Macaca mulatta: one gene and its partner. The protein of the gene in region 2 binds, or shares a complex with, the protein of the main gene of each other region. Links are inferred from orthologs where the notes say so. Each region holds a gene or a part of one and is shown on either strand. Other genes may lie near its edges.

The links.
Region 1: the proteins of TNNI3 (region 2) and TNNC1 are in contact, whole or in part, in a crystal structure (PDB 4Y99), measured with the Homo sapiens proteins. The link is inferred for Macaca mulatta from reciprocal best matches to the Homo sapiens genes TNNI3 and TNNC1. Residues at the interface, in NP_000354.4 of Homo sapiens: Glu32, Pro33, His34, Ala35, Lys36, Lys37, Lys38, Ser39, Lys40, Ile41, Ser42, Ala43, Ser44, Arg45, Lys46, Leu47, Gln48, Leu49, Lys50, Thr51, Leu52, Leu53, Leu54, Ile56, Ala57, Lys58, Glu60, Leu61, Glu64, Arg136; in NP_003271.1 of Homo sapiens: Asp3, Ile4, Lys6, Ala7, Glu10, Gln11, Thr13, Glu15, Gln16, Glu19, Phe20, Ala22, Ala23, Ile26, Phe27, Val44, Met45, Leu48, Gln50, Glu59, Met60, Glu63, Glu66, Asp67, Gly68, Asp73, Asp75, Glu76, Phe77, Met81.

Annotation. Positions count from the first base shown.
Region 1 is NC_133407.1:115,994,082-116,005,475, reverse strand, and holds TNNC1 (troponin C, slow skeletal and cardiac muscles), read left to right. Parts: upstream 1-4,492; 5' UTR 4,493-4,590; coding exon 4,591-4,614; intron 4,615-6,092; coding exon 6,093-6,123; intron 6,124-6,353; coding exon 6,354-6,500; intron 6,501-6,747; coding exon 6,748-6,862; intron 6,863-7,078; coding exon 7,079-7,215; intron 7,216-7,299; coding exon 7,300-7,331; 3' UTR 7,332-7,506; downstream 7,507-11,394. Other genes in the region: NISCH (nischarin), read right to left, coding at 695-778, 2,853-2,945. UniProt on the Homo sapiens protein: Troponin is the central regulatory protein of striated muscle contraction. Tn consists of three components: Tn-I which is the inhibitor of actomyosin ATPase, Tn-T which contains the binding site for tropomyosin and Tn-C.
Region 2 is NC_133424.1:67,466,510-67,477,960, forward strand, and holds TNNI3 (troponin I, cardiac muscle), read right to left. Parts: upstream 6,375-11,451; 5' UTR 6,224-6,374; coding exon 6,213-6,223; exon of another isoform or gene 6,193-6,212; intron 5,939-6,192; coding exon 5,926-5,938; intron 5,764-5,925; coding exon 5,680-5,763; intron 5,275-5,679; coding exon 5,233-5,274; intron 4,962-5,232; coding exon 4,830-4,961; intron 4,053-4,829; coding exon 3,963-4,052; intron 3,423-3,962; coding exon 3,246-3,422; intron 1,172-3,245; coding exon 1,088-1,171; 3' UTR 1,021-1,087; downstream 1-1,020. Other genes in the region: DNAAF3 (dynein axonemal assembly factor 3), read right to left, coding at 7,403-7,790, 7,874-7,948, 8,748-8,859, 9,670-9,805, 10,380-10,502, 10,608-10,733. UniProt on the Homo sapiens protein: Troponin I is the inhibitory subunit of troponin, the thin filament regulatory complex which confers calcium-sensitivity to striated muscle actomyosin ATPase activity.

The DNA of each region.
Region 1 (11,394 bases), on a different chromosome or scaffold from region 2:
CAGACTAAGAGGCTCTGTGCCTATGTAAGGCCAAGGCAAGAAGCCTGAGGACAGGCGCTTGTCAGCACTTGCACAGCCCCTCCCTGCAGTACCAAGATCAGTGACCAAACGAGGGCACCTGGGATTCGCCTCTTTCAATCCAAATTAGCATTAGAAATACCAATACAATTCCAGACAAGGAATTCCATCTGGAGACGTTGGAGACATTCAGAAAAGTAACACCTTTTGCCCCTAAAATTGCCATCTTTTCCAAGCCAGAGTACAAACCAATTAGGGCAGTGGTGTGTCTTTAAAACACGCTGTAAATGACCCAGAGAAAGACAGCATCTCCAAAAGCAAAGATGGAATCACAGCCAGATATTACAGCACAGGCTTTGGAATAGCCATAGCTAGGTCGAACAAGTTCAAACCTGTCCCCTTCCCAGGAAACTGTCTCAGCATCTCGTATCCAAGCTAGGACTGGAAATATTAAAACTGAAATTCAAATATGCTCCTTGCAGACTGGCTCATGCTAGAGCTGAAGGCTAGCATTTACATGCTATATTAATGAACGCAGTTATATTAACAAAGTGATTTATTAAGAACTATGGACATGGAGCCTCTTTTGCCCTAAAACTAACGTGTGGCACAATGGAAACTTGGCCTACAGGACCCTCCAGCCCTGAAATATGTGCTCCCAGCTCTTAACAGTTACCTTTTCATGCAGGTCATGGAAGTCGCTGTAGCGGTGCTTTACCGTCCACTCATGGCTGCCATCAGTGACCTGTATGATGTAAACCTAAAATGGGAAACCAAAAGCCCTTGTAGCAAGGGAGCCCCAACAAGGAGTCTCCTCCCCCTATAGCAAAAGCTGCAATTACCTTTCCCAATTATCTTTTATCAGTCTTTCTCTCTGCAACTCAGACCCACCCCAAGGCCAAAGTCAGGCTGCCCCTGCCCACTAGCCTCTGCACCTGACCCTTGCTGACCAGCAGGGCCCCTCTCAGCCTCCTCCATGGCCCAAGCAGTAGGGCTGGGAGGCACATGGGACAAGCCTGTGGCTCCATCCATCAGTAAGGAATGAAAAAAGTGATTACCACAACAAGTCACCTCTTTAGTTTTTTACCACCTGCCTCTAGGTAACTCAAAACCCAACCCGAGCTGCAGGCAAGGCCATTTCTTCCAAGGGAGGCAGAGGAGGGCCAGTTGTAGCCTGAGCATCTTCTCTGTTGTACTTCTTTCCAGGTGCCCTACCCTCCTGGAAGCAAGTCCTTTTCCAACCCTTTCAACTGGTTCATGGCTGTGATTTCTGCTACTGAGCCAGGAATCAAGGCACAAGCAGCTGATGTGGGGAGGGAGTGGTAGCAACTAAGCTCTATCAGGAGGCAATATGGCCTAGAGGTTAAGGAAGGCCTGGGTTAAAAACCTGGTTCTGTCATTTCCTGGCTGCAGCTTATGTGTCACTTATATAATTAACTTGGAGCCTAAGTTTTCTCTGAGCCTCAGTTCCTCCATCTTAGAATCAAGGACCAAGTAAGGCAATGCATGTAAAATGCTTTGTCCATGGGCCTGACCCATGGCAAGTGTTCAAAGGGTAGGTGTGTTCATAATATCCAACCCGGCACACCCGGAGACAGAGGATGGTAGGGTCCAATCTAGATCACCACCTCCCCCGACACACATGCAGAGGAGGGGTGCAGTCCAGAATAGGGAGAGCTTTTTGAAGATGGCCCTCTTGCTGAAGGTGCCAGCCATCAGCTCAGGGACCTCACCCGCCTCCTGCACCTAGTTTCCCTCTCCTCTCTGCAGCATGGAGCTGAAGCCTTCTCCAGCCCTGAGGAGCAGCCATTTCTCCAGGCTGGCCTGTTGCTCCAGGATCCACCCCTCTCCTCTTCCCATCCTGCCTGATTCCTTCCCTTTGCCCTCAGGAAAGGAGAAAAGAGCCTGATGAATGGCCCTCAGAGGGGGAGGTTAGGATGAGGGCCAGGGAGGGGGGTGCAGGCAGGGCCAAGGCCCCCACCCACTCCCTACCCTGCGGGAACAAAGGGGATGAAGCAGGGAGGTGCTCAATGCCTAGTTTTTGCCAGGCAGCCCACCAGGCTCACAGGCCTGGCATCCAACCCCATCAGAGTCGGAAACTACCCCCCATTTGTCCTCTGTCTCCCCCATAGCTTAGAAGTGTGTGTGCGCAGCTTGTTGCCCCATCTCGCTCCCACAGCCCAAAGTCACGAAGATTCCTAAGGTTTATAGGGCCTGCGCTTCAGCACTGAGACCACCCCTATTTCTCCACAGCTGGGCTCCACCCGTCCTCCGTTCTTGTCTCCGCCCGACCCCCAAGGCGTCTGCCCCCCAGGTCTATCCTTCACTTCTCAGAGAAAATCTCAACCACCACCGCAGGCTTCCCAGATCAGGGTGCTGGCGCCTTCTCTTTCTTCAAGGCCTGCGGAGCCTGACCCTTTTCCCTGATTCCATCCATCAGAGACCCTCTCCCCATCGCCTTTCTCCTGAACCCCAGTAACGGTCTCTCAGGCCGGGGCCCCTCCAGTCCTAGAGGATCTAGAGGCGTTTCGCCTCATCTAGACACCCCCCTCCCCAGGCCCCCTTTATCCCCAGATGCCGCCCCCAACCCGAGCCTCCCTTTCTGATCGCGTACCCTTTTCCAAACCGCCTCCCCAGGCCCCGAGCAACCCTTCACCCGAACCTGCGAGGCCCAGATCCCTTTCCTTAGATCCCCCGTCCCAGCCCCCTCGCAATCGCAGACCCTTCTACCCGCTCCTCAGGGTTGCAGATCCCGAACCCCTCCCCAAGCCCCCAAGTCGGACTCCCGGTCCCAGCCACCACCCCCGCTTCAGGTGCCCGCGCCCCCAACAAACCGTATAAGTGTCCACGAGCTCCGAGCCCACGACGCGAGCTTCCTTGGCCGGCTCGGCTTCCCGCTCGGGCCCGAAGGTGCGCAGCGTCGCCATGTTCGGGTCTCCGCCGCCGCCGCCGCCCGGCGCAGACTGGCAGCAGTAGGGGGCGGGGTCAACGTCCCACCGCCCCCCAGCCCCCGCCGCCCCACGCCCCCGCCGCGCGCTGCGCCGCCATCTTGGCCCCGCCTTCTTCCTGCGCCCTCGCCCCGCCCCTCGTGCGTGATTGACAGGCACCACCCACAGCGCGCGCGTGCGCGGTGCTCGCTTGCGTAATCTCTACCTGCTTGGCGCGGCGGGAGGTACACTGCGCAACCTGCTAGAAACTGAGACCCCTGGTGGTTACAGCTCTGGGCATCGCCCCTCCGTCCTCGGGAAGAGGGGACAGAAGGTCTCGAGCCTTCCGGGCTACACGAAGCAAGTCACTGCTCTTCCTGGCCTCAGTTTACTCCTCCGGATAAAGGAGGCCATAATAGTGCCTCACCTGGCTGTTGAGCTCTTTCTCTTTAGGGCAAGGCGGGTTGGAGGGGAAAACAGGACCTGTGCTTACCGCCGGAGCAGGGCGAGAACGATTCTGGGCCAGTTCTGAACCTCTCCGAGACTCGGAGATCTCTTGTCAGTGGGGCTCCTGGACAACTGAGTGGGTCGGTTCATGCGCGGCCCGGCACGCAGTAGTGCTCGAGGCAGGGAGCGTGTTTATCAAGAGGGATAAACTTGATACGAACTCTGTACGAAGGAGGGTGTAGGTGGATGGAGGGGTGTGTGCCGCCACTGAGCACAAGAACCCCACGGGGTGGCCTGCCAGAGTTTAAAACGAGGGAGACAGATTGACCTGGACCCAGGAACTACAGTGCTAGAATGGGGAACTGAGTCCTAAACCAAGGAAAAATGAGACCTAGAAGAGGGAGGTGGTAACCTAACTAGAGGGTGAGGAGGAAAGGAGCCTGCCACAGATGGGGCATCTGTAGGGGTGCTGTTGAATAACTGACAGCAGCTGACTTAAGCCCGAAGTGAGTACTTCTCCCTGGGCGGATGGGAGGTCTGGGGCAGGCTCCTCTGGCAGAAGGCTCCTGGCCACCCTGTCCTAAGGTGGATCAGTCACTTCCTCCTTCACCAGTTCCACAGCATCGTACTATGAGCTTGATATTCAAGGCTTCTCTTGGCAGGGCCCTGCACTCCCAGCCTCTCCTTGCACGTTGCACCCCCATTCCAGAGAGGTTGAGTTAAAGGCAGGGGTTGCCAAGTCAGTCAGATCTTGGGCAAGTCACCACTCCTCCAGAGCCTCAATTTCCTTATCTGGAAAGTGGTGGTCATGGCACCCGCCTCCCTGGTTGGATGGGAGCCTGAGCTGCTGTGTTGCCCGGGCCTTGCCTAGGGCCCACGACTTCGTAACTCCTGTCCTGCACTGGACTCATGTTTTCATTCATTCCAGAAACCTTTTCAGAGAGTCCCTTGGGGAGTGTGGGGGACAGGAGGGAAAGAAACCTGGTCCTTGTAGCCCTTCATCTGCTTCCTGCCCTGGGCAGAGGACACGGGGACTCAGGCCAGCCTGAGATCACTGGGACCAGAGGAGGGACTGGAGGATACTACATGCAGGGATGGGCTGGGCTGGGTTGGGCTGGGCCAGGAATGCGGTGGGGCAGGGCTATTTAAGTCAAGGGCCGGCTGGCAACCCCAGCAGGCTGTCCTGTGAGCCGCCAGCATGGATGACATCTACAAGGCTGCGGTGAGGGACAGGGCTGGGTAGGGCTGGGGTGGGCAGGCCCACTGGGGGCTCACTCAGCTCAGAATGGGAGGCCAGTAGCCCCAGGGAAGTGGTGGGGACCCAGGAGAAAGCCTACGTGCCTTCAATCCAGGCTGTCACAGGGACAGTGGTTCTGGTGTTTGGGGATGCAGAAGGGATGGGAGTTCAGGTTCTGAAGGGTGGTGGAGGATGTCGCAGCTTTCAGCATCATGTCTCACTCTCTGTTTCCAAGTGTCTGTAGTCTGAGGCACTGTCGCTCAGCCACATGTCTCTGCATTTGTCTCTGGACATTTTTGCCTTTCTCTTTTCATCTCTTCCTCCTGAGCTGTCTGAGTCCCCATTACTGTCTCCCTGTCCCCAACCCCCATTTCTGCCCCTCACATTATGCTTCTCACATGCTCAAAATCTGCTACCCCACTCCAGCCCCTTGACTGGCCGAAGATGCTTTGGGAGGTGGAGGGTGTGAGAGGAGTGGGCTGCAGAGCTTGAGTCCTGGGCTGGAGATGGGGCTTTGAAGTTTGAGGCAGGGAAGTTCTGGACATGAGGGAAAACCAAGGAAGAAGGAACAGAGAACTGGGGCCCCAGCTCCCATCATGCCTGGCAGGCTCAGCGCTCAGTGGCTTAGATAGGGGTGAGAGCGAGGGAACAAGGGCTGGAGAGTGGTCACCCCAAGCCCCTGCAGCCTCCTGGGTCACTGGGGGTCTTCAGATGCTATTCTATCCAGGGGTGGTGGTGACCTCCCCCAACCCCAGAGCAAGGACATCCTGGAATGAACAGCTGTCCCCAGGGGAACCCCTCCCTCAGCCTCCCTTACTCCTGGGCAGGGAAGTGCTACAGCCAGCTCTGGGGGCACGCCTGCTTATCCTGTGGGAATCCATGGAGCTGGAGTGGGGGCAGCCCTCCACCCAGTGCCCATACAAGGCCTGGCGGAGCTGGGGACTAATTTTGGCTCCTGAGGCGGCACTAGCAGGCCAGGGGGCCAGATAACGCTGCCCCACCCCCTGCATGCCAAAGTCCCCAGAACAATCACCAGGTTTAACTTTGTTCCTCATTAAAAATAGCCCAGTGGCCACCCTGGTCAGGTTACAGTGGGTGGCTCGCCTGCCCCCACACTGGTTTTATTGTCCCAACTTGAGGGACAGCTGTCCCTCGGGCCACCCGGCTTGAGTTTCATCAGGGGCTGAAAGGGCATTGAGTGGTCACTGACTATTGTTACTGAGGGTCACCTTGGCCCTGAAGGGGGTGCCCACCTGTCACCCTGGCCCTCAGCCCAGTCTCAGTGAGGCCAGCTGGGTCACATCAGGGCTTTGGGGGCAGGGAGGGAGGACTGAGACCTCCGCCCTGTGGCCTGGAAATAGCCTGCCTCCTCCGGCTCCAGCCTTCTCACCTGTGGAATGGATTGGTTTCCTCAGCAGCAGCTATACCTGAGTCTGAGCCCTGAGAATCCCTTTCCTTTCTAGGTAGAGCAGCTGACAGAAGAGCAGAAAAATGGTGAGAACCCCTATCACACATGTGGGAGACCAGCGGGGCCAGGCTGGCATGGGGACCCCTTACCAGAAGAGGACCTCAGACCAGAGAGCAGAGGCTTGGTCCCTCTTGCTCTGACCTCAGAGAGGTCTCTGAGGGAGGTGGGCAGGTTGGCAGATGGCCCCAGGGTTCTGGCCTTCTGAGGTCCTGGCTGCTGAGCCCCGACTACTATGCCCCCCAACCCCTGAACACAGAGTTCAAGGCAGCCTTTGATATCTTCGTGCTGGGTGCTGAGGATGGCTGCATCAGCACCAAGGAGCTGGGCAAGGTGATGAGGATGCTGGGCCAGAACCCCACCCCTGAGGAGCTGCAGGAGATGATTGACGAGGTGGACGAGGACGGTGAGCCCCCTCCTCCCCAGGCTCCAGAAGAACCCCAGCTGGCTGGGGGCTGGAATGCTGGCTCTGTTTAGCTGGGAGCGGTTTTGCCTATCTGAGCCTCAGTTGCCTCATCTATAAAATGGGCATAATGGCCACAGAAGCCTGGCATTTGGTGTGAGGGTGCGGTGAGAACATGGGGGTTCATGTCGAAGGTGCTGCCTGCAGTACCTACCCCGGCCTCTGTAACGGCCATGCCGCCCACCCCCAGGCAGCGGCACGGTGGACTTTGATGAGTTCCTGGTCATGATGGTTCGGTGCATGAAGGACGACAGCAAAGGGAAATCTGAGGAGGAGCTGTCTGACCTCTTCCGCATGTTTGACAAGTGAGCATGTGACCCTTGACCTCTGACCCTGACCCACACTCAAGCCAAACTGTAGAGGAGGGCGGTCTCAGATTCCAGGCCTAGGGACCCTGCGGCCTCTGCCTGATTGGGGAGAGGGATGCCCCATCTCCCAGTGTCCCTGCTCTGCCTCCTGGGGCATGGGTGGGGCTGCCTTATGCCCTCCCCACAGTCCTACCCTGAGCCCCCTCCCCACAGAAACGCTGATGGCTACATCGACCTGGATGAGCTGAAGATGATGCTGCAGGCTACAGGCGAGACCATCACGGAGGACGACATCGAGGAGCTCATGAAGGACGGAGACAAGAACAACGATGGCCGCATCGACTATGATGGTAAGTGGGTAGGTGGGCTGGTCCCCTGCCTCCATGCCCTGCCCAGCCCCCACCCCCGACCCACACCTGCCCCTCTTTCCACAGAGTTCCTGGAGTTCATGAAGGGTGTGGAGTAGATGCTGACCTTCACCCAGAGCTTCCCATGCCCAGCCTCCAACTCCAGCTGAGTCCTGGGGTTGGGGAGGGGGTTGGGGTCCCAGGACCTGAGCCTGGCCATATCCTCAACCCCAAATCCCCTGACTCCCTCCCCAACTCTGTCCTGGGAGATGCAAATAAAGCGTGCTCCCCGGAGGTCTGCTGTCTGCCTCTGGTGTCCCTGGGCCGGGGACTCTTCCTCAGGACTCACTCTTACCCGATGACTGCTTCCTTCCCTGTCGTAGGCAGGCTGGCTGCAGTGCCTGGTGCCTGACCGCCACTCCACACTGCCTTCTGCGGGGAGTGAGATGAGATCGGAGACTGCTGTGTGGCCTGCCCTGCTGGCTGCCCTCTATCACTCCTCATGCCCAGGCACCATCTCCAGGGATTCAGCATCTGGAGTCTGTGGGGGCCTAGAACCCCTACAAGTTCCTGGGGGCCATCACTTTGGTCAACCACTGTGGCAGCCTAGGGGTTCTCTCCTTGGAGAGAGTGGTTCACTGCGGTACACAGCTAGGCCCTGAATGCTGCCTGGCAGAGCAACCCCCGTTACCTCTCAGCCGTGGCTGGAATGGAGCTGAGCCTGTGGGGTCCCTGCAGGCCCACAGTGCTAGTTCACCCGCCCACTCACTTGTATTTCCTGCCAGCAACATTGACTCCCAGGGCCAGAGGCGCATGGAGTTGGCTCTACCTCCCCTCACCTGTTTGGCCCAGAGAGGTACAGGGACCTGTTAAGGTCATCCAGTGAGTGTGGGGGAGAGCAGAGCCAGCTGGCTTCCAGCCAAGGGCCCTGTCGGATGGGCCACATCCAAATGGGCGTGACTTCCAGTTCCTGTGAACCTCAGAGGCTCGTCTCCTGTGGCCCAGTCTCTTTCCCTGACAGGGACAGAGGCCCAAGGCCTGGCAGCTCTCAGCTTAGTGGGAGCGCCCAGTCCAGAGCTGCTGCCAGACAGTGATGCTGTCTTGGGGGCATGGGCATTGGGGGCTGCAAGGAAGTGGAGGTGTCAGCAGTGGTGTTCGCAGGAGGGACAGCTGCCAGCAGCACCCAGACTCTAGCCAGAATGCCATCAGCTGTCCTTGCCCCGCCCAGCCACTCCACTCTCTGCACCTGTGCCCCAGCCTTGGCATTCCCCAGACAGGCCCAGCATTCCAGAGATGGTCTTGGAATTCTAAAGATGCCTCTGGTGGAGGCCAGAGCTAGCGAGAACTTTCTGGTCCCTGGAGAGACCTGAGGGGAGTGGAGGGGAGTCCCTTTAGGCCTGCCCTTGTGAGCTGGAGAATTGGGGACCTCTACAGACACCCAGAGTGACCCAGGAAGGGTGACATCCAAGGAGAAAAGGAAGGGCCACATTGGGCAGCACCACCAGCCAGTGTACCACTCAGTGGTTCATCACATACCTCCCATGTGCCCAGCACGGGCTGGATGCTGGGGCATGTCACAGTGAGGCCCGGTCCCTAATCTGGTGGATTTTTGTTTCTTTTTTGAGACAGAGTCTTGCTCTGTCACCAGACTGGAGTGCAGTGGCGCAATCTTGGCTCACTGTAACCCCTGCCTCCCAGACTCAAGCGATTCTTGTGCCTCAGCCACCTGAGTAGCTGGGATTACAGGCGCCCGCCACCACACCCGGCTAATTTTTGTATTTTTAGTAGAGACGAGGTTTCACCATGTTTCCCAGGCTAGTCTTGAACTCCTGAGCTCAACTGATTCACCCATCTTGGCCTCCTGAAGTGCTGGGATTACAGGTGTGAGCCACCGTGCCCAGCCAAATCTGGTGGAATTTTAAGGAGATGAGTACAGTGGGAAAACCAGCACGGGCTGGAGTGGAGACTGGAGGCGTGGTGGGCCCATGAGTTAGAGTGGTCTGGGAAAGCTCCCTGGAGGAGCTGCCTGTGCGTGAGATCTGGGGGAACCACAGGGAACCAGCCATGGGAGGCCATGGAGAAAGACTGGGAAGGTCTCAGGAGCAGAAAGGCAGTGTTGGGCTGGAAACCAAGCCCCAGCAGTCTTGGGAGACGTGGGCAGTGCCAGGCCCCATGAGGACCCAGTCAATGTGAGGGGTGAGGGCTGCAGAGGACAAAAGGGGTGGGAGAGAGGGTCCCAGGAGCTGGCATGAAGTGGGGGCAGGCTCTGGGCAAGAAAGCCCGGTGGCTCCCAGTACAGTGGGATGCTAGGGAGAGGGGGTCGGGGGTGCATGGATTCAAGGCACATTTTGGAACTAGGATGGACAGAATTTGCTGAAGGCTTGAATGTGAGGGGTGAGAAATAGGAAAATCCAAAATGACCCTTAGCTTTTTGGCCAAACTGCCATTTCCTGAGATAAGGAAGCTGGGGGGAGGCACAGGTTCAGCCGTGGGGTATTGTGAAGTGGAGGTTACTTCCCAACACTAGGTTTTAGTTGGCTTTTTTGTTTTTTTCTTTTCATTTTGAAATTCCAGGCTTGCAAAAAATAGTACAAAGAACTCCCATTTACAGGTCCCCCAGCTTCCCTGTGGTTAACATTTTAACCACAGAAGGATCAAACACAGGAAATGAATATTGACATAAACACTGCTAATTAATCTGCAGAGCTTATTGGAGTTCTGTCAGTTGTCCTAAAGTCCTTGTCCTGGAGCAGGAGCCAATCCAAGATGGCACTAGAGTGACCTCATCCTCCTGTCTCCTTACTCCCCTCCAGTCTGTGACGGTCCTCCGTGTTTCCTCGTCACGTCTGAAGAGCTCAGGCCAGTTATTCTGTAGAATCTCACTCACTTTGGGTTTGTCTGGTGGCCCCAGGGTTTGGGAACTTGCAGGCCCCCAGGCCTCGGCCGCCTGAGCAGGAGGGTTTCCGTGGAGCAGAGGGGTGGGAGCCTGACAGGAGTGAGCTGAAGTACAGGGGAGATGGCGGGTGTGGGCAACACCCAGGGAACAGAGAAAGGGACCCAAGCTGAGGGGCGATGTGGGGTCCAGGGAAGCTTGTTTAAGAAGGGGTAAGGGGCCGGGCGCGGTGGCTCAAGCCTGTAATCCCAGCACTTTGGGAGGCCGAGACGGGCGGATCAGGAGGTCAGGAGATCGAGACCATCCTGGCTAACACGGTGAAACCCCGTCTCTACTAAAAAATACAAAAAACTAGCCGGGCGAGGTGGCGGGCGCCTGTAGTCCCAGCTACTCGGGAGGCTGAGGCAGGAGAATGGCGGGAACCCGGGAGGCGGAGCTTGCAGTGAGCTGAGATCCGGCCACAGCACTCCAGCCTGGGCGACAGAGCGAGACTCTGTCTCAAAAAAAAAAAAAAAAGAAGAAGGGGTAAGGGAATGGCTTGTATGCTGGGGTATCAACCCAGTGAAACAGGAAAAGGGCCGTGTGAGATGTAGGCAAGCTCTGCAGCTGGCCAGTGGCTACTGGGCGCCGGACAGTGTCTGCCAGGGCCCGATTCTAGAGCTGGTCACAGGTGCAAGCTGTACAGGGAGAAGGAGGAGTCTCAAGGCAAGGAGGGGCAGGCAGATGGGCCTCAGCGAGTGAAAGATGTGGCAGTGGGGGTGCTGAGCTGCCGATGGTGATGTCCAGAGGAAGGGATGTTCCAAATGGACAGGCAGAAGGTCATGCCCTTATTGGTAGTGACCTGGAGGGTGGGTAGCTGAGGTAGGGGGAGGGGACCATGACAATGAGGAAGACAGTGACCCAAGAGATAGGAGGGTACCAGGGATGTGGGATGTCAGTGGGATTGGGGCGAAGAGAGTTAAGGCCTCTGTGAAGGAAACAGGAGAGTGTCTGGGCCAGCTACAGAGAGGGTGCATTCTGGGGTCAGGCTGCTGCCTCAGACAAGGGCCACGTGTGCTCGGGTAGAAGGGAGTGAGGATTGTCAGGAAGGGGCAATGGGGGAAGAAGGGCTCTGCCATGTCCTGGATCTCTCTTCATCAGCTGTGGCAGGGAGGGGGACAAGTCCTGGACAGGAAGAGAAGATGAATGGCCCACTTGCAGATAGAAGTCCCAGAGGAGACTGTGGGAGGGTTGGGGTGGGGAGGGTGGAGCTGTGAGGGATGGCTGATGGGAAGCGGGGGGGCTCACCC
Region 2 (11,451 bases):
ATGTTCTAATTGCCACAAGGCTTTTCCTTTTTCTAGCAGCTAAACAAACACTGGCCTCAAGATATGCAATATTACAACAATTGCAGCCATCCATTGCCAGATGCTGACTAACTGAACCCCCTGTTCCACAACGCATAGCTACAACATTAGTTGAATGAGAGACTGATTTCAGTAACTTTCTCCTGATAAGATACCACGGACCACAGACTGGTTCTGACTTTTGACAGAGGCTGTGCACTGGGTGCCTTCATATGCCTGCTTCATGTTTCCATACGAATGCATTCAATGGGATGCACTTAAATATTAAGCCTCCACCACCATGTAAAATGCATAGTTGTCGTCAGTCACGATGGCTCACGCCTGTAATCCCAGCACTTTAGGAGGCCGAGGCTGGTGAATCACGAGGTCAGGAGTTCGAGACCAGCCTGGCCAACATGGTGAAACCCCGTCTCTACTAAAAATACAAAAATTAGCTGGGCCTGGTGGTGCATGCCTGTAATCCCAGCTACTGGAGAGGCTGAGGCAGGAGAATGGCTCGAACCCAGGAAGTGGCGGTTGCAGTTAGCTGACATTGTGCCACTGCACTCCAGCCTGGGTGACAGAGCAAGACTCCATTTCAAAAAAAAAAAAAAAAAAAATGCATGTTTGCTTGTCACACATGTGTGTGTCCACCTGTCCATGAATATTCATAGCTCCTTCTATAACCAGTTGAATACGTGCACGTAGCCAACCCACTCAGCGTAAATTCCTGCCTTGCCCTTCCCTCCCTTAAAGTGCCTGCTTCTGTTTTTTGGCAAGAAGCCACGCTTCCAGTTTGCAGGTTGTGATCTGCTTCTTAAGAAACAAAGCTCCCCTCTCCAAATTCATGAACCCTGGAATTCTTTTTGATAACAGAGCCAAGAGTGCTCCACATGGGAGATCCATCTGGTCCCCGACCTGCTGTGTGACTTTGGGGGAGCCCTGCCCTCAGTTTTCCCATCTCTCTCCTGCCTAAGCCCTGGGTAATAGACATGGAGTCACTTTCAGCTCAGAGAGAAGCTTTATTCCTCAGGGCCCTCCTCAGGGCGGGGGCAGTAGGTAGGAAGACTCAGCCCTCAAACTTTTTCTTGCGGCCCTCCATTCCACTCAGTGCATCGATGTTCTTGCGCCAGTCTCCCACCTCCCGGTTTTCCTGGAGGATGGCGATAGAGTCAGAGATTAGGGTCTCTTCCTGGTCTCCAGTCTCTCAAGAATCCCTGTCTTCCCTCCAGCCTGTGGGGCCACTCTACCCTGGATGCCTGTCTAAGTGTCTAGTTCTGGAGCACTTCCCATCTTTTCAAGATAATCCCCGCCAATTTTCCCCATAACTTCCTGTCTCCCTCATGCACTTCCTGTCCCCCTCATGCACTTCCTGTCTTTCCCCAGCACTTCCTGTCTTTTCTCATGCATTTCCTGTCTTTCCCCATGCACTTCCTGTCTCCCTCATGTACTTTCTGTCTTTCCTTATCCACTTCCTGTCTCCTTCCTGCACTTCCTATCTTTCCCCTACACTTTCTGTCTGCCTTATGCACTTCCTGTCTCCTTCCTTCTTATTGTAGTAGTTCATCCTTATCTGCAATTTTACTTTATGTGGTTTCAGTAAACCATGGCCCAAAAATATTAAATGGAAAATTCCAGAAATAATTCATAAGTTTGATGGATTCTCATAGGACATAGCCTAATGCTAGGTCACAATGCCTATGTCATCCACCTCACTTCATCTCAGCACATAGGCACTGTCATTTCACATCACAAGGAAAAGAAGGGTGACTACAGGGCCATAGGATATTTTGAGAAAGAGACCAATTCATATGAGTTTTATTACAATATGTTATAATTGTTCTATTTTACTATTATTATTATTATTTGAGACAGGGTCTGGTTCCCTCACCCAAGTTGGAGTGCAATCTCGACTCACTGCAGCCTCAACTTCCTGCGCTCAAGCTATCCTCTCACCTCAGACTCCTGAGTAGCTGGGACTACAGGTGTGTGCCATCATGCCCAGCTAACTTTTTTTTTTTTTTTTTTTTTTTGAGATGGAGTCTCCCACGGTTGCCAGGGCTGGAGTGCAGTGGTGAGATCTCAGCTCACTGCAACCTCTGCCTCCCAGGTTCAAGCAATTCTCCTGCCTCAGCCTCCCAAGTAGCTGGGATTACAGGCATCCACCACCACACCCAGCGAATCTTTGTATTTTTACTAGAGATGGGGTTTGACTGTGTTGGCCAGGCTGGTCTCAAACTCCTGACCTTATGATCCACCTGCCTTGGCCTCCCAAAGCGCTGAGATTACAGGTGTGAGTCACCACACCTGGCAACTTTTGTATTTTTTGTAGAGACGGGGTCTCGCCATGTTTCCCAGGCTGGTCTCGAACTCCAGAGCTCAAGCAATCTGCCCGCCTTAGCATCCCAAAGTGTTGAGATTACAGGCATGAGCCACCATGCCCAGCCTTCTTTTATTATTATTTATTGTTAATCTCTTACTGTGTCTAATTTAGAAATGAAACTTTATCATAGGTACGTAGGTTTGTATAGGAAAAAAATTATATATAGGGTTCAGTACAATCCATGGTTTCAGGCATCCACTCCTGTCTTTCCTGTCTTCTTCTTTAAGATAGGGTCTTACTGTGTTGCCCAGGCTGGAGTGCAGTGGTACAGTCATAGCTCACTGCACCCTCGATCTCATGGGCTCAAGCGATCTTCCTGCCTCAGCCTCCTGAGAAGCTGCATGCCACCACCATGACTAATCAATTTTAAAAAGAAATTTGTAGAAATTAAAACAATATCGTGGTGGTGTGCACCTGTAGTCCCAGCTACTTGGGAGGCTGAGGTATGAGAATCACTTGATCCTGGGAGGCGGAGGTTGCGGTGAGCCGAGATGGCGTCACTGCACTCCAGCAGCCGAGATGGTGTCATTGCACTCCAGCCCGGGCAGCAGAGACTCCATCTCAAAAAAAAAAAGGAAATTAAAAAAAAAATTTTTAAATCTCAAAGATTACAGGCATGAGCCCCTGCACCCAGCCCTTCATGCACCTCTTTGCTCTTACATGGACTTCCTGTAGCCCTAATGCACTTCCTGTCTTCCTCTTGCATTTTGGAGGACCCCATACTAGCTAGCTGCTTCTACCCCCAACTTCAAGCACCGTCTGCCCTCCAGCTAGGCCCCAGGGTTGTTGGTACCCACAGCCCTTCCCCTCAGCATTCTCTTTCCTGGCCTTAGCCCACACTCACCTTCTCGGTGTCCTCCTTCTTCACCTGCTTGAGGTGGGCCCGCAGGTCCAGGGACTCCTTAGCCCGGGCCCCCAGCAGTGCCTGCATCATGGCATCTGCAGAGATCCTCACTCTCCGCAGGGTGGGCCGCTTAAACTTGCCCCGAAGGTCAAAGATCTTCTGGGTCAGATCTGCGATCTGGGGGGAGGCAGTATACAGGGGTGTGGATACTCCTGCCTCCATTTCCCCCTCACCCAACTCTTCCACCCTACACTCCTTTTTTATTCTCCTTATCTCATCTTCCAGTACCAAGGCCTCATCCAGTCTCTTCCCAGCTTAGGCTCCCAGTCTAAGCTTCTAATCCTGGAACTGAATCCCCCTCTTCATACGCTCCAGCCTCACCTCACAAAACCACTGGCATAACCTGGTCCAGCTACATGCAAATCACAATTCCCTGGCCAATGCCTGAGCTAATTTACCAACATGTGATGCCCTGAAAATGTTCACTAAGATATTTTCTGTTTCCCAACCCATGGCCTTCCATGTGCTGTTCCCTCTGCCTACAACAGCTTTCCTTGACTATATTGTACTCATCCTTCTGCCCCAGCCCTGCCAGGCTCACAGTTGTCCTGGGTCTCCTGGGATGTGCAGCCAAAAGCAGCTGCAAGGGGTCAGGCAGAGACCAAATACCAGGTATCTCACTACCCCGAAGGTACCCGAGCTGCCCATGCGTCCCACCTCTGTGATGTTCTTGGTGACTTTTGCCTGTATGTCATATCTCTCTTCATCCACCTTGTCCACACGGGCATGGAGCTGTCGGCACAAGTCCTGGAGGAGGAACGTGGTGTGTGTTTTTGGGGGAAGCCTGGAGGCCTGGAGACCTGAACCCCTGGGTCTGAGGGAGGAGGGGCTGGGGGCCTGGACTCCTGGGTCTGAGAGAGGAGGAGTTGGGGGCCTGGACTCCTGGGTCTGAGGGAGGAGGGGCTGGGGCCTGGACTCCTGGGTCTGAGGGAGGAGGGGCTGGGGCCTGGACTCCTGGGTCTGAGGGAGGAGGGGCTGAGGCCCTGGACTCCTGGGTCTGAGGGAGGAGGGGCTGAGGCCCTGGACTCCTGGGTCTGAGGGAGGAGGGGCTGGGGCCTGGACTCCTGGGTCTGAGGGAGGAGGGGCTGGGCCCTGGACTCCTGGGTCTGAGGGAGGAGGGGCTGGGCCCTGGACTCCTGGGTCTGAGGGAGGAGGGGCTGGGGCCTGGACTCCTGGGTCTGAGGGAGGAGGGGCTGGGGCCTGGACTCCTGGGTCTGAGGGAGGAGGGGCTGGGGCCTGGACTCCTGGGTCTGAGGGAGGAGGGGCTGGGGCCTGGACCCTGTCTGGGGTAGGAGGGCCACATGATCCTGAAGGAGTAGGTTGGAGCCAAGACTCCAGAGACCTGCACACAAAGGGTGTTAGGGGCCGGGAGTCCCACGAACCATATAGAATTGGGTAAGGACAGACATATTGGACGCCTGGGTCCCGAGCAGAAGAGGGGACAGAGGCTGTTCTGCTGAATTCCGGGGACTAGAAACCTCGGATCCCAGGCTGGGCAGGAGTACCTGCCTTGGGAGCCGGTACCTGCAGCTCCGCGAAGCCCAGCCCAGCCAACTCCAGCGGCTGGCAGCGCGTGCTCAGAGCGCGCCCCTTCTCTCCGCGCCGCTCCTCCGCCTCTCGCTCCAGCTCCTGCTTTGCAATCTGCAGCAGCAGGGTCTGCGGAGGGGTGGGAGGGAAGCGTAGCCCACCCGGGGCATCAGGAAAAAGACCAGGCGTAGGGAACCCCGTCTGCCCTTCTAAACCCTCGAGTTTCGTCTCCACCTTTCCAAGGCCCCGCCCCACCCGGAGCAGGACTCCCCGATAAAGCCACGCCCCGAGCGGCCAAACCCCCGCCCACTCCCGCCCACCTACCCCGAAAGCCCCACCCACTCTCAAGCTCCGCCCCCTGAGCACGTGCCTGCTCCTTCCCTGGACCTCCCGTGCTCACCTTCAGCTGCAATTTTCTCGAGGCGGAGATCTTAGATTTTTTCTGCCAGGGTGAGATGGAGCAAGGAAGCATCATGGAGGGGGATCCGGAGACGACGGTGGAGGGGACCTCAAGGCACCCCCAGCAACCCCAGCCGGTCCAGATTTGGGCCCACTTCCAACTTGCGCCCTGAGTCTATGACAGGCCACGCCCCTCATTCCCATCCACCAATCCGGGTCTCTGGCTTTGGATAGGCACTTCCCATCTATCCCTAAGGAAATCCAAGGGCAACGGAACTACGCCCACAGGCGGCTGTCACCAATCCGAGTGTGACCCTTTGCAAAACTCCGCCCCTGAAGCCTCTCCGCGTAGTCCCCGCCCCCTTCGTAGCCTTGGCTCCTCCCCCCACTCCTAAGGTCTCGGGTCCTTCCAGCGCCTGTACTCGGCCCCCAGGAAGCCCCTTCCCACCTTGGCGTGTGGCTCCGTGGCGTAAGCGCGGTAGTTGGAGGAGCGGCGTCTGATTGGGGCTGGTGCAGGGCGAGGTTCCCCAGCCTGGGTTTGGAGGAGTGGGGACCCCATCACCACCAAGACCCCACCCAGCCCTTACCGTACCGCACCCTCTGCTAGGGCTGCAGCCTCCCGCCCCAGACCCCTCACTGCAGCGCCCACCCTGGCCCTGGGGGTCCCAGCCACGCCTTAGCCTGCTGCTCTCACCGCATCGCTGCTCCTGGAAGGAGAGAAACCGGGGATGGGGGTTAGTGGTGGGCTGTGTCCTGTCTGTCTCCTAAGGGACCCCCGGAAGCCCCTCTGACCAAGAGGTCGGGGGACACCGCTTCCCCTTCCTCTGGTTCCAGGAGTCTGACTCGCAAACCCGCTTCCTTTCTTCAACCAAGAGCCCCTACCCCTACCTCACAGGCCAGGGGTCCAGCCTCTCAGCTCTGACCCCTCTTGGGAACCTGAGAGGTCGCCCCCAACTCCCACTGCCTTGGGGCATCACTCACTTATCTGCCATGCTGAGACTCAGGCCGGGAATGGCAGGAGGTGAGGACAGGGGCGTTTGGAGGGTCGGTGAGGGGACCGCCTGGGTGACCTTCAGGGTCCCAGGGACCGTCAGTCTCCTCCCGGCTGCTTGAGACTCCCCGAGGACACTGAGATAAAGGGCGAGGACAGAGACTAAATATACTGTCACCTCCTCCTCCCCTGCCCACCATGCGAGATAACGGGGCACGTGAGGGGTGGGGTGGGCCCTGCTCCAGCTGGATCACCAGCCACCTCGGGGCACAGGACTCCGGACCCTCCTCCCTCTGATCCTGGAGTCCTAGACCCCTCCTCCCTCAGACCCACAGAATGCCCAACCTCCCAGCCCCCTCCTTCCTCAGTCCTAGGACCCTGGGAGACCCCAGCCACTCCCTCAGACAAGGAGTCCAGGCCCCCAGCCCCCTCTTCCCTCAGACCCAGGAGTCCAGATCCCCAGCCCCTCCTCCCTCAGACCCAGGAGTCCAGGTCCCCAGCCCCTCCTCCCTCAGACCCAGGAGTCCAGACCCCCAGCCCCTCCTCCCTCAGACCCAGGAGTCCAGGCCCCCAGCCCCTCCTCCCTCAGACCCAGGAGTCCAGACCCCCAGCCCCTCCTCCCTCAGACCCAGCAGTCCAGACCCCAGTCCTGTCCTCCCTAGACCCACTGGTCAAGTCCCGGAAACCCAGGAATCTGGTTTCTGGCTTCCTCTGTCCACCACTCCTGGGTCTTTCTCTCCCAGCCCTGGAGACGGACATAGGACAGGAAAGACACTTGGACACACAGAGAGGTGGACATAACTTGCTTTACTTGAACCATCTGGGTGCTGACCAGGCCCTGGTGAGGAGACACCCCAGCCCCCAGCCAGCCACAGGGTGCCTGGGAACAAGGGGGCCAAAGTCAAGGGCTTGAGACTCAGGGTCCGATCCTAGACTGGGTTCAGGGCCTCAGAAGTGGAATTTGGAATTCTGAGAGAACAATCTAGAATTCTAGAAATAGAATCTCAAAAATAGAATTTGAAATTCTATCAACACTCCCAGGGTGGGGGTGGCGGGTACTGAGTGGGAATGATTAGAATAAAATTGGGGACTCTAGCAGCCAGCTTAGGATGGTATCAGCGGGTTCTCATCCTACAACCTGACTTTGGAAGTTGGAGATAAGGGGTATCTAGGGGTTGGGTCAGACTCCAGTGTTGGAGTGTGACTCACAGTTGGACAGAGCCAAAGCCCCTTGGGGCTGAGCCAGAACCTCTGAGAGTGAACCTGGAGACTCAGAGGGCAGCTGGCAGGGCTCCCAGTGTGGGGTCCCGCCCTCCAGAGGCTGGGTCAGGCCCTCAGGGGCTGGGCTGCTGGCTTCAAGAGGCTGGGCCAGGACGTCAAGGGACGGAGTTCTGGGTTCCACAGCTGGGTCAGTGCTGCCCAGAGCCGAGTCCTGGGACTTGCAGAAACGTGCGAAGGTCTCTGAGGGCCTGGCCCCGGTCTGTGGAGCAAATCCCGCTGCCTGAGCTCGCTCCCCGACCTGGGTGTTGAATCCCTGCAGCTGCTCCTGCCGCACGTCCACCAGGTATCTGCAGATGGGAAGCGCCATGTCAGGGACCCAGATTTTGATCCCCAGCCGGGATGTTCCCCGCCCTCCACCCCACTGGCTCACCGGGCTAATTCCACAATCAGGTTCCCTCCAGGTGCCACACAGGCCCCAAGCTCGGGGCTGAGAAGATGGACCACCCTGCAGTGAGGACCGAGGACAAGCCGAGACTCAGCTGAGGGAGGAGGGGGCTCTGGGAACCCAGACACTGAGGGAGGAGGGGCTGCAACACTGGAGTCTGGGTCCTGGGAAAGAAGGGAGCAGGAGGTCTGGACTCAGGGACCAGGGAGGAGGGGCTGGGTCTGGACTCAGGGACCAGGGAGGAGGGGCTGGGTCTGGACTCCTGGGTCTGAGGGAGGAGGGGCTGGGTCTGGACTCCTGGGTCTGAGGGAGGAGGGGCTGGGGGCCTGGACTCCTGGGTCTGAGGGAGGAGGGGCTGGGGCCTGGACTCCCGGGTCTGAGGGAGGAGGGACTGGGGGCCTGGACTCCTGGGTCTGAGGGAGGAGGGGCTGGGGCTGGACTCCTGGGTCTGAGGAAGGAGGGGCTGGACTCCTGGGTCTGAAGGAGGAGGGGTTGGGGCACCCGGACGCCTGGGTCTGAGGGAGGAGGGGCTTGGGTTCCAGAGTCTGAGGGAGGAGGGGCTAGGGGCCTGGACTCCTGGGTCTGAGGGAGGAGGGGCTTGGGTTCCAGAGTCTGAGGGAGGAGGGGCTAGGGGCCTGGACTCCTGGGTCTGAGAGAGGAGGGGCTGGGGCTTGGGTTCCTGGGTCTGAGGGAGGAGGGGCTGGGGGCCTGGACTCCTGGGTCTGAGGAAGGAGGGGTTGGGTGCCTGGACTCCTGGATCTGAGGGAGGAGGGCCTGGGGCTTGGGTTCCAGGGTCTGAGGGAGGAGGGGCTGGGGGCCTGATCCTGGGTCTTTGTGAGCACAGACGCCTCCTGCTTACCCACAGGCCACATAGAGGAGCTGGAACCGGCCATTGTAGCAGCTCTTGTGGTGGAGAGTCTCAGCAGAATTGAGCGGCAGGAAGTGGACAGTGAATGATTCCGGAGTGGGGGCTGCCGGAGGAAGGGGATAGAGGGGTCACCTCTGACGGGCAGAGCCATGAGGGCAGAAAGCCAGAGAGATATATAGAGCTGGGCAGAGCTGGGCAGGCACACAGGACTTGGAGATAACACTTTTTGTCCTCTTGAAGCTTTTAAAAAAATCTTTCCTCTGAGGTGGATTCCTGGAAAATTCTGGGAAGATCAGCCCAGCAGGCAGAGGCTCACTGTACAGATCAGGCAACTGAGACTAGAGAGGGAAAGAGGGTGGGTGGCCAGGGCCACATGTGACATGCCCTGTCGGACAGACACTCAGGGAGGGCCAGGTTGGAGGATGGCTGGAAGGAGGCCCAGCGCGGATCCGGGGTGCAGGATGGTGTTCAAGGGAGGGCTGGGACCCAGCACCCTGTGAGAATATTCTTGGATAGCTTAGCCCTTTGCAGATAAGATTGAATTCTACTAGTGGAATTCAGAATCCTAAGCATGCTCTCAGAATTTAGGAAAGGGAGAGAAAGAGAAGAGAGGAAAAGACAGAATATCAAGAAGCCGTCACTTGCCCAGGCATTCCAAATCATGTCAGTCCACACTCCAGTGTGAAACACTTGGAGGCTGGAGTCCCTGGCTTACCTGTTGTCCCTGGCCTACCCGGGACTTACCTGGAGTCCTGGCTTACCTGTTGTTATCCCTGGCTTACCTGTTATCCCTGGCTTACCTGTTGTCCCTGGCCTACCTGGGACTTACCTGGAGTCCTGGCTTACCTGTTGTTATCCGTGGCTTACCTGGAGTCCCTGGCTTACCTGGAGTCCTGGCCTACCTGGGACTTACCTGGAGTCCCTGGCTCCGGGCTTGCCTCCGAGCGCTGCTGCTCCTCCGGGTCCCCCCGGCTGGCTCTCGCGCGCCCCCAGGCGGCCACCTCGCGGAGCAGCTCTGTCACGTTGTGTTGCGTGATCTCCCCGGCAGTCTAGGGGTAGAAGGGGCGTGGCCAGACGTCGGGGCCGGGATGGCGGGGCGGGGCTTAGAACGCGGGGAGTCCTCGGTCCAGGACTAGAACTCCCGCAGCTGCTTGGAGGATGTGAAGTGGGGCGAGACCTATCCCGCGGGGATGGGGCCTGTTCCCTGAATGGAGTCGTCCCCGCCCAGCGACGGGTTGGGTCTGGAGCTGGGGCGGGGCCTGCGGTGGAGGCGGGGTCTTGCGCACCCACCCACCCCCAGCTCCACCCCACCCCCAGCCCCACCCCCACCCCCAGCCCCACCCCCAGCCCCACTCCCACCCCCAGCCCCACTCCCACCCCCAGCCCCACCCCCACCCCCAGCCCCACCCCCAGCCCCACTCCCACCCCCAGCCCCACTCCCACCCCCAGCCCCACCCCCAGCCCCACCCCCACCCCCAGCCCCACCCCCACCCCCAGCCCCACCCCCAGCCCCACTCCCACCCCCAGCCCCACCCCACCCCCAGCCCCACTCCCACCCCCACCCCCACCCCCAGCCCCACCCCCAGCCCCACTCCCACCCCCAGTCCCAGCCTCGCCGCGCACCTTGACCGGCTGTCCGTTGCTGGTCCGCAGAAGGCTCTCGTCGTCGGCTTCGATGCCGAAGGCCACGAAGGGCCCTGTGGCGATGTCCCCCCAGTACCCGCGCGCTGCCACGCGCTCCCCGCGCTGGAAAAGGAGGGAGAGAGGAGGCGGGTGAGGTCGAGGCTGGGGACCCTGACTCCTGGGTCTCCGAGAAGCAGCAGTGGGCCAGGACAGGCAGTGGACACGCACGTAGCTCAGGAGGCGACCCGACGCCAGGGTCCGGTTGGGCACGTGATAGGCGCTGGAGTCCCTGAGTTCAAAGGCGACGCCTGTGTCCCGCCAGCGTCGGAACTCCTGGGTGTGAATGACTTGGGCCTGGGGTGGGGGGCAGGAAGAAGGGACCCCTCAATGAACCCACCATGGAGGGACCCCTACACCATCCTCCCTCAGACCCGGGAGTCCAGGCCCCCAGCCCCTCCTCCCTCAGACCCAGGAGTCCAGACCCCCAGCCCCTCCTCCCTCAGACCCGGGAGTTCAGGCCCCCAGTGTCTCCTCCCTCAGACCCAGGAGCGCAGGCCCCCGGTCCCTCCTCCCTCAGACCCAGGTGTCCAGACCCCCAGTGTCTCCTCCCTCAGACCCAGGAGTCCAGGCCCCCAGCCCCTCCTCCCTCAGACCCAGGTGTCCAGACCCCCAGTGTCTCCTCCCTCAGACCCAGGAGCCCAGGCCCCCGGTCCCTCCTCCCTCAGACCCAGGTGTCCAGACCCCCAGTGTCTCCTCCCTCAGACCCAGGAGTCCAGACCCCCAGCCCCTCCTCCCTCAGACCCAGGAGCGCAGGCCCCCAGCCCCTCCTCCCTCAGACCCGGGAGTCCAGGCCCCCAGCCCCTCCTCCCTCAGACCCGGGAGTCCAGGCCCCCAGCCCCTCCTCCCTCAGACCCGGGAGTCCAGACCCCCAGCCCCTCCTCCCTCAGACCCGGGAGTCCAGACCCCCAGCCCCTCCTCCCTCAGACCCGGGAGTCCAGGCCCCCAGCCCCTCCTCCCTCAGACCCGGGAGCCCAGGCCCCCAGCCCCTCCTCCCTCATCCCAGGAGTCCAGG